Drosophila melanogaster: one gene and its partner. The protein of the gene in region 2 purifies or fractionates together with the protein of the main gene of each other region. This does not show direct contact. Each region holds a gene or a part of one and is shown on either strand. Other genes may lie near its edges. The genes, in order: CG8132 and Cmpk.

Region 1 (3,482 bases), about 17 Mb from region 2:
AAGAATCAGCTATTGAACGAGTCAACGAAGCAACTGCTTCATGCCACCCATCAGATCCGCGAAATTCAGCTAGATATGCTTAAGCAACTGAAGTTCCTGGCCAAGATTCGTTTCCTCAACCTGCCCGCCACCGATGTAATCAGCCTAAGTGCCGAAAACCTTAACATTCTCCAACGCATGGTCCTGCACACTGGCGTGGGCATTCCCGAGGAGACACTAAAGTTGTCCAGCGCCAGCACAAGTCCACTTTGTGAGGCGGAGAAGTACGCGGTTAGGGTAAGTACAGCGATAGTTAAAGTGATTCAAACATCCAGTTAATGGTACACCTTATTACCGTCCCACCAGGCCTTGGAATTCATTAGTCAGCCCCTGATGGCCACCGATGAAGCCATACGAGCACTTTTCGACCAGGCCCAGCGACCCCACTACGTGCAATCACCTGCATCCGAAGTAACTCCTGCCTGCGATAATCAGCAGCTAGATAAAATGCAATAGTTTTTCGACAGAAATCAATGTTATATGTGTGTGTAGGCCTAATAAATTTTATATACAATCAAATAACATAAATGCAATGCTTTAAAGGTGCTTAAAACGACAGATTCTTGAATTTTTGAAGATTTCCCATTTCCCATTTAAAGCAATCCTTTATTTGGCCTTCCTTTCGGTGGCGTACAGATCTAGACGTCTTTGCCCAAAGACGGGAATCTGCTGACGCACCTGCTCCACCTCGGAGAAATCTATATCGGCCACCACGATTTCCTCGCCTTCACTGGCACTCTGCTGCACCTTGGCCCATGGATTCACCACCATGGAATGGCCATAGGCTACATACTCGGCGCTTGTGTCACGGGCTGGTGATGTTGTGACCACAAAGAGTTGGTTGTCATTGGCACGGGATCGCTGCAATAGCTCCCAGTGCAGTGGACCAGTGGTCATGTTGAATGCAGCCGGATAGATGATCATCTCGCAGCCTGCGTTGCGATAGAGCCTCGCCATCTCCTCGAATCGAATATCGTAGCAGATGCCGATGCCAATCTTGTGGCCATCTACGTTGATGATGGTGAAATCATTGCCTGCGGACAGCGTTTCCGACTCCTTGAAGCGAATGCCACCCTTGACATCTATGTCAAAGAGATGCATCTTGCGATGCTTGGCCACAAGGTCACCAGTGGGTGACCAAACCGTGCAGGTGTTGTAGATGGCATCGTTTTCGCCCAGTTCAGGGATTGTTCCGCCCACGATGTACACCTGGTGCTTCCTGGCCAAATTGGAGAGCTGTTGCGAGGTATAGCCATCGGGAATGGTCTCGGAGTACTCCCGAAAGTACTTGGTGCCGTATGGAGCATTAAAGCACTCCGGCAGAGTGATCAATCGGGGTTTATGCTCCTTGACCGCCGCCTCGATTTTGGTGACGGCGTTTTGGACATTGGCCACTTTGTCCTTGGAACCCTTGAGCTGCAGCAGCGCCAAACGCATGACTATTAAATAAGAAATATTTAAGTGGATCTCTTTGAAATTTTGAGAAACACTTACTGTTGCTAGTTTTGCTCATATTGCTGCAATTAAATGTTATCTTTTCGCGGTTTGATAACAGATTTCATCGCAAGCAAAACAACAACAGGTTATCGCAGGGGCGTAGTAAAAGGGATCAATATTTATAAAACGCATTATTTAACCTCATATTAATACGCATATACTTAGCCAAAGCATACTTAACCAAAAGAATATAGCATTAAATTGTGTATAAAATCCTAACTTTTCTAACAAAAAATAAATAATTTGCAACCCCCATAAGCCCATGTTTTCATGGCAATCTGGCAAGGTCTGCAGTGCTCGAAAGTGTCGTACAGTGGGCAGCGCAGCCAAGTTCACGTCGTGCGCGAACAGGGTTGCCACCTTTCTTTCTAGTTTCGTCTCTTTGAGGTATGCACGTGTTCAATTAACAATTTCACGCAAATTCGCCGAAATGTGTGAAAAAATTGTGAAAATATACCACCAAATGCAGCCCAAACTGCACCCACCCTAGTGTAACTCCAAACTAATAATGATTTTCACCGCTTTTGCACATGTAACCCACGAATCGCCACGACAAGCAGCAACAACAACAGCAAAATGGTCCAACGTCTGACGCTCCGGAGACGCCTGTCCTACAACACACGCTCCAACAAGCGGCGCATGTAACTATCCAACTGCAATACACCTCACCAATATGAAAAATAACGCACATTTGCAATTTACAGTGTTCGCACGCCCGGTGGTCGTCTGGTTTACCAGTATGTGAAGAAGAACCCCACCGTGCCCCGTTGCGGCCAGTGCAAGGAGAAGTTGAAGGGTATCACCCCCTCCCGCCCCAGCGAGCGCCCCCGCATGTCCAAGCGCCTGAAGACCGTGTCCAGGACCTACGGTGGAGTGCTGTGCCACAGCTGCCTGCGCGAGCGTATCGTGCGCGCCTTCCTCATCGAGGAGCAGAAGATCGTCAAGGCCCTGAAGAGCCAGCGCGAGGCGCTCGTCAAGCCGGTGAAGGCCCCCAAGGCCAAGCCCGAGCCCAAGAAGAAGCCCGCTGCTGGAGCCAAGGGAACCAAGGCCGGTGCCGGCAAGGTCACCAAGGGTGGTGCTGGCGCCAAGGGAGCCGCTGGCAAGAAGCCCGGCCAGAAGCCAGCCGCTGGCAAGCCCAGGAAGTAAACAGCCCACGCAACGAGTTCGGTGTACTGCTAAATAACTTTTAAAATAAATTGGTTTTTTCCAACTGGATTTACTGTTTGTATTTTTAGTTTGACAGTCCAGTTGGATTGTGTACTTTACTTATTGGTTGTTCTTGTTTTCCAATCAGACCGTTCGACTTTTAGACATTTATAGCAAAACGATTTCAAAAGTGAGAATATAATATAATTAAAATAAATAAATTTTAAATATTTCGTTTGTCACAGAGTTTTACTGTGCTCGTAGTCAAACTTTTGATGATTTTTCAGATTTATTGATAATTATAAAAAATAAGATCCAGTGTTATTTTTCAAAGTGTCAATTTGTGAGAGTGATCACTGTATATTCATTGTATGACTAGGTGGCAACTCTGTTGAGAACAGCTGTTCGGCAGAAGCAATTGGAATTTTCTTAAAAATCACGTAAGTCGTTGATTGTTTATAGTTTCTTGCAAATGCAATTAATATTTTGTGTTTAGAATGGCGGGAACCAAGGTGCTGCGCTCCCTGCTGCACGAATTGCGCCAGGCATCTCCAAATGGCTGCATCAAGGACTCTCTGGCCGCGCGCTACATTTTGGCGCAATACAAGAAGTTCGCCACCACGGAACAACAATTCTGCAAGGCGCGCAACGAAGCGACTTTCCTGGGTCAAACCTACCTGACCTACCTAGCCAGCCAGCGCCGGTACTTGGAGCTCTACAAGGAATATCACGGAAGGGGCGAGAGATCCGTAAGGGATACCGCCGATTTGGTGGGCTTCAAGCTGCCCTCGGATCCCAAG
Region 2 (3,843 bases):
GCAAGGATTGAGCCGCTACTAAGAACCACTGCCTGTCCACTTTATGTAAGAGCCACCACCCGTTTGTATCTCCCAGAAGCGAATGTTATATTAAAGAGAATGCTTGTGATTTTCGTTCCCTGCGTGTTTGAAAAATCGATGAGTAATTAGCATTTACAAGCTATAATGGAAAGAACTGGGTAGTGCTGCAATCGCACAGCCTAGCTACAAACAAATTCGCAATACTTGTTACTTTAGAGCTATACAATATTCGGTATTTTAAAAGATATGTACGTTTCATGCCTGTCTTCAATAAAATAAGAAAAAGGAATTTCCAAATCATGAAATTATATATATATGTATATACATATATTCAGCTTTAACTATAAATGCAAAATTGTGTTTATCTGAATAAAAAGAAGTACTTTCCTAAATTTGTACTATTGGGTACTATAGAAATATGTAAAACACTTGAAAAATGAAAATCACATAGCACTTGTATAAATAAGAAAACTTGTTTTAAATGTCATAATATGAACAGGGGATTTAATTTATTGTTTATTGCTCTTTAACGTTCCTACATTTAAAATAGTTCTCAATCCATTTGCTTTAGATAACATATAATTCCAGAATAACTTTTGCCTAGCTCCATTTTTTACTCGATATTAAAAAGTGTGTGTGTACCTCCGCTTTCCTTGATTGGGTATACTAAACTTCATGTGTATCTTGTATCTTATCGGGGTGAAGAAAAAGTACCTTATGCATTACTATTAACAAGCGTATATATGTATTTTTTTAGAGGGTACAAATGAAAGGTAAGGATAGCACTACACACATAACCGGAATATGAACAGGAAATCTAGAAGCCGCTGGCCACAAATATCTTTTCCACCTCCCCGAACACCTCTTCCGCATCCGGACTGGCATCGATCCGTTTCACCTGGCCGGCGCCCTCGAAGAACTTGATGATGGGCAGCGAGTCGTTGTTGTATGTCGAGATGCGCTTCTTCAGGCTGTCCAGGTTGTCGTCCGTCCGGCCAGAGCCGCTCTGGCCGCGGCCCAGACACCGTTTGACGCACACATCCTCGCCGCAGTCGAAGAAGAGGACAAACTGGAAGTCCACCTTCTCGGACATCTGGCGGTTCCAACCGTCCAGATTATCCTGATTGCGTGGGAAGCCGTCGATGAGGAACCGCGACTTTCCCGACGCCTTCATGGCGTTCTCCAGCAGCGAACACGTGACCTCGACGGGCACAATTTTGCCATTGCGAATGTAGTCCTCGATGAGGTTACCGAATTCGGAGCCCTCCCGCGACCGCTCCTCGCGCAGGAGATCGCCGGCCGAGAGATGGGTGAATTGGAAGCGATCCACGATCCTGGAGCATTGGGTGCCCTTGCCGGCCCCGGGACCGCCCAAAACAAAGACAATCTTTGGCTTCTCTACGCTCATGATTCCGATATTGTGTGGTGGGGCTGTGGAGGTGGTGGTGATGAACCTATTGCTGGCCTTGGAATGTCGCAATTGGTGCTGCGTCAGCGCTGATGGTGCGAGACCGACTCCTGGTGAACCGCAATCGTTGGCTACTGCTCTCAACGTCGTTCGTGCCAAAGCCCGCCACATTGACGACTGAACCAAACTGAAGGCAAATTGAATGCGTGGTTTATGTGTATGCCGCCTGCAGTACACCTCACCACTGTTTTCCACTGGAAACGTAACACCCTGTGACGTCACGCACAAGCGCAGCTGTTCGCGGGCGTCCGTTCGGCAACACTGGCGCCGGCTTTAGCGGGAAGCGAACCAATTTGAATGGCATTTTATGCAGTTTACTTCCGGTTCGATATTAAATAAATTAAATTTAATTTAAATATTCTTCTACAACATTTTTAAATGTACCCTTAAACATGCAGCTTTGCAGAGTTTGATTTTTAATTTTTTTTATTATCATGTATATTACCTGCTAAATAAGTCTTTTAAATTAGCTGCGCTTGGTTGTTTTGTATCAAGTCGGCCACTAGTTGGTAGGGAATAATATGCTGGGAGCCGGCCGCCATGTCCACCTCCTCATCATCGACGCCCACGATCACAGCGGGCACTGGAAAGCAAAACAAGAGTTAAGCGGTTATCTTAATTAGATGACAAAAGGTTATTACCTGCCACATTTGCCTTAAGAAAGACATGGCTCATCAGATTGGGCGTCACAATCCTCTGCTCCGCCTCTCCTCTCTGCTGGTTGGGCATGTACTGGGTGGCTACTTTGTGGAAGTACTCATCCACATTACTGGCAAACTCCTGGGCGAACTTAGTCTCCTCGGGAGACAGACGTTTGTCATCCGGCTCACGGCTCTCCTCCTGGTTGAGGATGTGCTGCGTGAAGGTTTCGATCTTCTGCAGGCGGCAACGCAGATAACTGGCCATTATGTAGCGCACCCTCTCCAGTTCCATGGAGTGCACCACCGCTCGGAAATCGTTCTTGTCCAGATCGCGCATCTGCTCCTCCATGTGGGCCACCTGGGAGACCATCAGCTCCAGCATGTCCGTCTGGCTGGGCAGGATCTCCGGCGCACACATTTCATTTATCCACGCGGTTTCTATGATTTCCAGAACCTAGGGATATCAGAATGTGATTACTTGCGTATTAAAAAGCTGTGTTACGATTTACCTTACCTTCTGAGCTGTAATCTGTTCCATATCGTCATCATCCTCATCCTCCAGTCCGGCGCCATCGCTGACATCGATTTCTAACTGGGTTTCGGGCACGTCTTCTACATCCGACATGGTTTTATTTATTTGTTTATTATTTTGCAGATTTTGGCGCAAATTTTGGGAATCGTTGGGAATGTCACTCCAGTAATACAGTTGACGTTTTTCATCACTGTTTCATTTGTTTTTACTCCGTGTGAATGGCACGTCTAACCGTTATCGATATCACAAAAGCATGCGATGGCAGCCGCACAACAAACTGAATTCCAAAAGAATTTTAGAGTGATTGTAGAGAAGATCTTCAATCACTGGCAGGATCTCCGGCTGGCGGTGGAGCATGGCATGGGCGGACGCAATGGCCAACAGGTTGTTGCTCGTATACCCTGAAACCGTCTTCTTTTCTAACCTAATCGGAGTGTCCGTTTTGTAGGTGGCCATAGAAATCATGGACTACACCTACCAGTACTGCGTGTCCAACGAAAATATCACGCAAGGCGAACTGGTGGAGGTCCTGGAGGAGCTGATGGACCAGGAGTTTAACACCCTCTGCGACGACGACTCCATTCCGGAGATCTGCCGGAATCTGCTGCGCTACAAATTGATGGCCCAGCAGAACCAGTTTCCGCAAATAGAGGCTGAATTGAGTAAACTTCCTGCTGGCAAGGAGTGGCTGCGTCCGGATGTTAAGATCACCTACACACCCATCGATGGGGACTCCTCATCCGATGAGGACATGGACGACAGCGACGAGGAGGACGATAATGAAATGGGCCAGGGCGACGAGGAAACTCCCAGCGGCAGTGGTCGGATGACGCGATCGCAGGCACGAAAGCAGCAGGCTGAGGAGTTTGTGGAACCGGAAGACGGCTGGACCACCGTGCGAAGAAAATGAATTTCGTCGGGATGATTAAAAAGAAACCTGCTAGTTTTTTAGTTATAATACGCTGTATTTACTTCCTGGAGGTCCAGAAAACGCAGTGGTGGAATAGGTGCACGTGTCACAGGTTGGTGGAAAGTCCTGCACAGGTTGCAGTTCACTGGAGAGGCCTTCTTTGATGCGGAATCCTGGCTGACCTTGCCTTTTTGCAACTGCGACCAGGAGGTGAACTCTGTCCCCTTGGGCAGTGCCAGCTTTGGATCCACCACCGAGGCAATGGAATCAA

The links.
Region 1: the proteins of Cmpk (region 2) and CG8132 purify together in Drosophila melanogaster (affinity purification with mass spectrometry, with the first as the bait; one large-scale study listed by BioGRID). This does not show direct contact.

What each region holds. Positions count from the first base shown.
Region 1 is NT_033777.3:9,399,637-9,403,118, reverse strand, and holds CG8132 (uncharacterized protein), read right to left. Parts: upstream 1,625-3,482; 5' UTR 1,553-1,624; coding exon 1,534-1,552; intron 1,479-1,533; coding exon 646-1,478; 3' UTR 501-645; downstream 1-500. Other genes in the region: CG9356 (uncharacterized protein), read left to right, coding at 1-276, 346-495; RpL34b (ribosomal protein L34b), read left to right, coding at 2,113-2,177, 2,241-2,682; CG34117 (uncharacterized protein), read left to right, coding at 3,180-3,482.
Region 2 is NT_033777.3:26,053,737-26,057,579, forward strand, and holds Cmpk (Cytidine/uridine monophosphate kinase 1), read right to left. Parts: upstream 1,703-3,843; 5' UTR 1,601-1,702; coding exon 839-1,600; 3' UTR 501-838; downstream 1-500. Other genes in the region: Vps2 (vacuolar protein sorting 2), read left to right, coding at 1-11; Sld5, read right to left, coding at 1,951-2,072, 2,131-2,584, 2,645-2,755; CG14543 (uncharacterized protein), read left to right, coding at 2,921-3,046, 3,111-3,572; PIG-P (phosphatidylinositol glycan anchor biosynthesis class P), read right to left, coding at 3,611-3,843.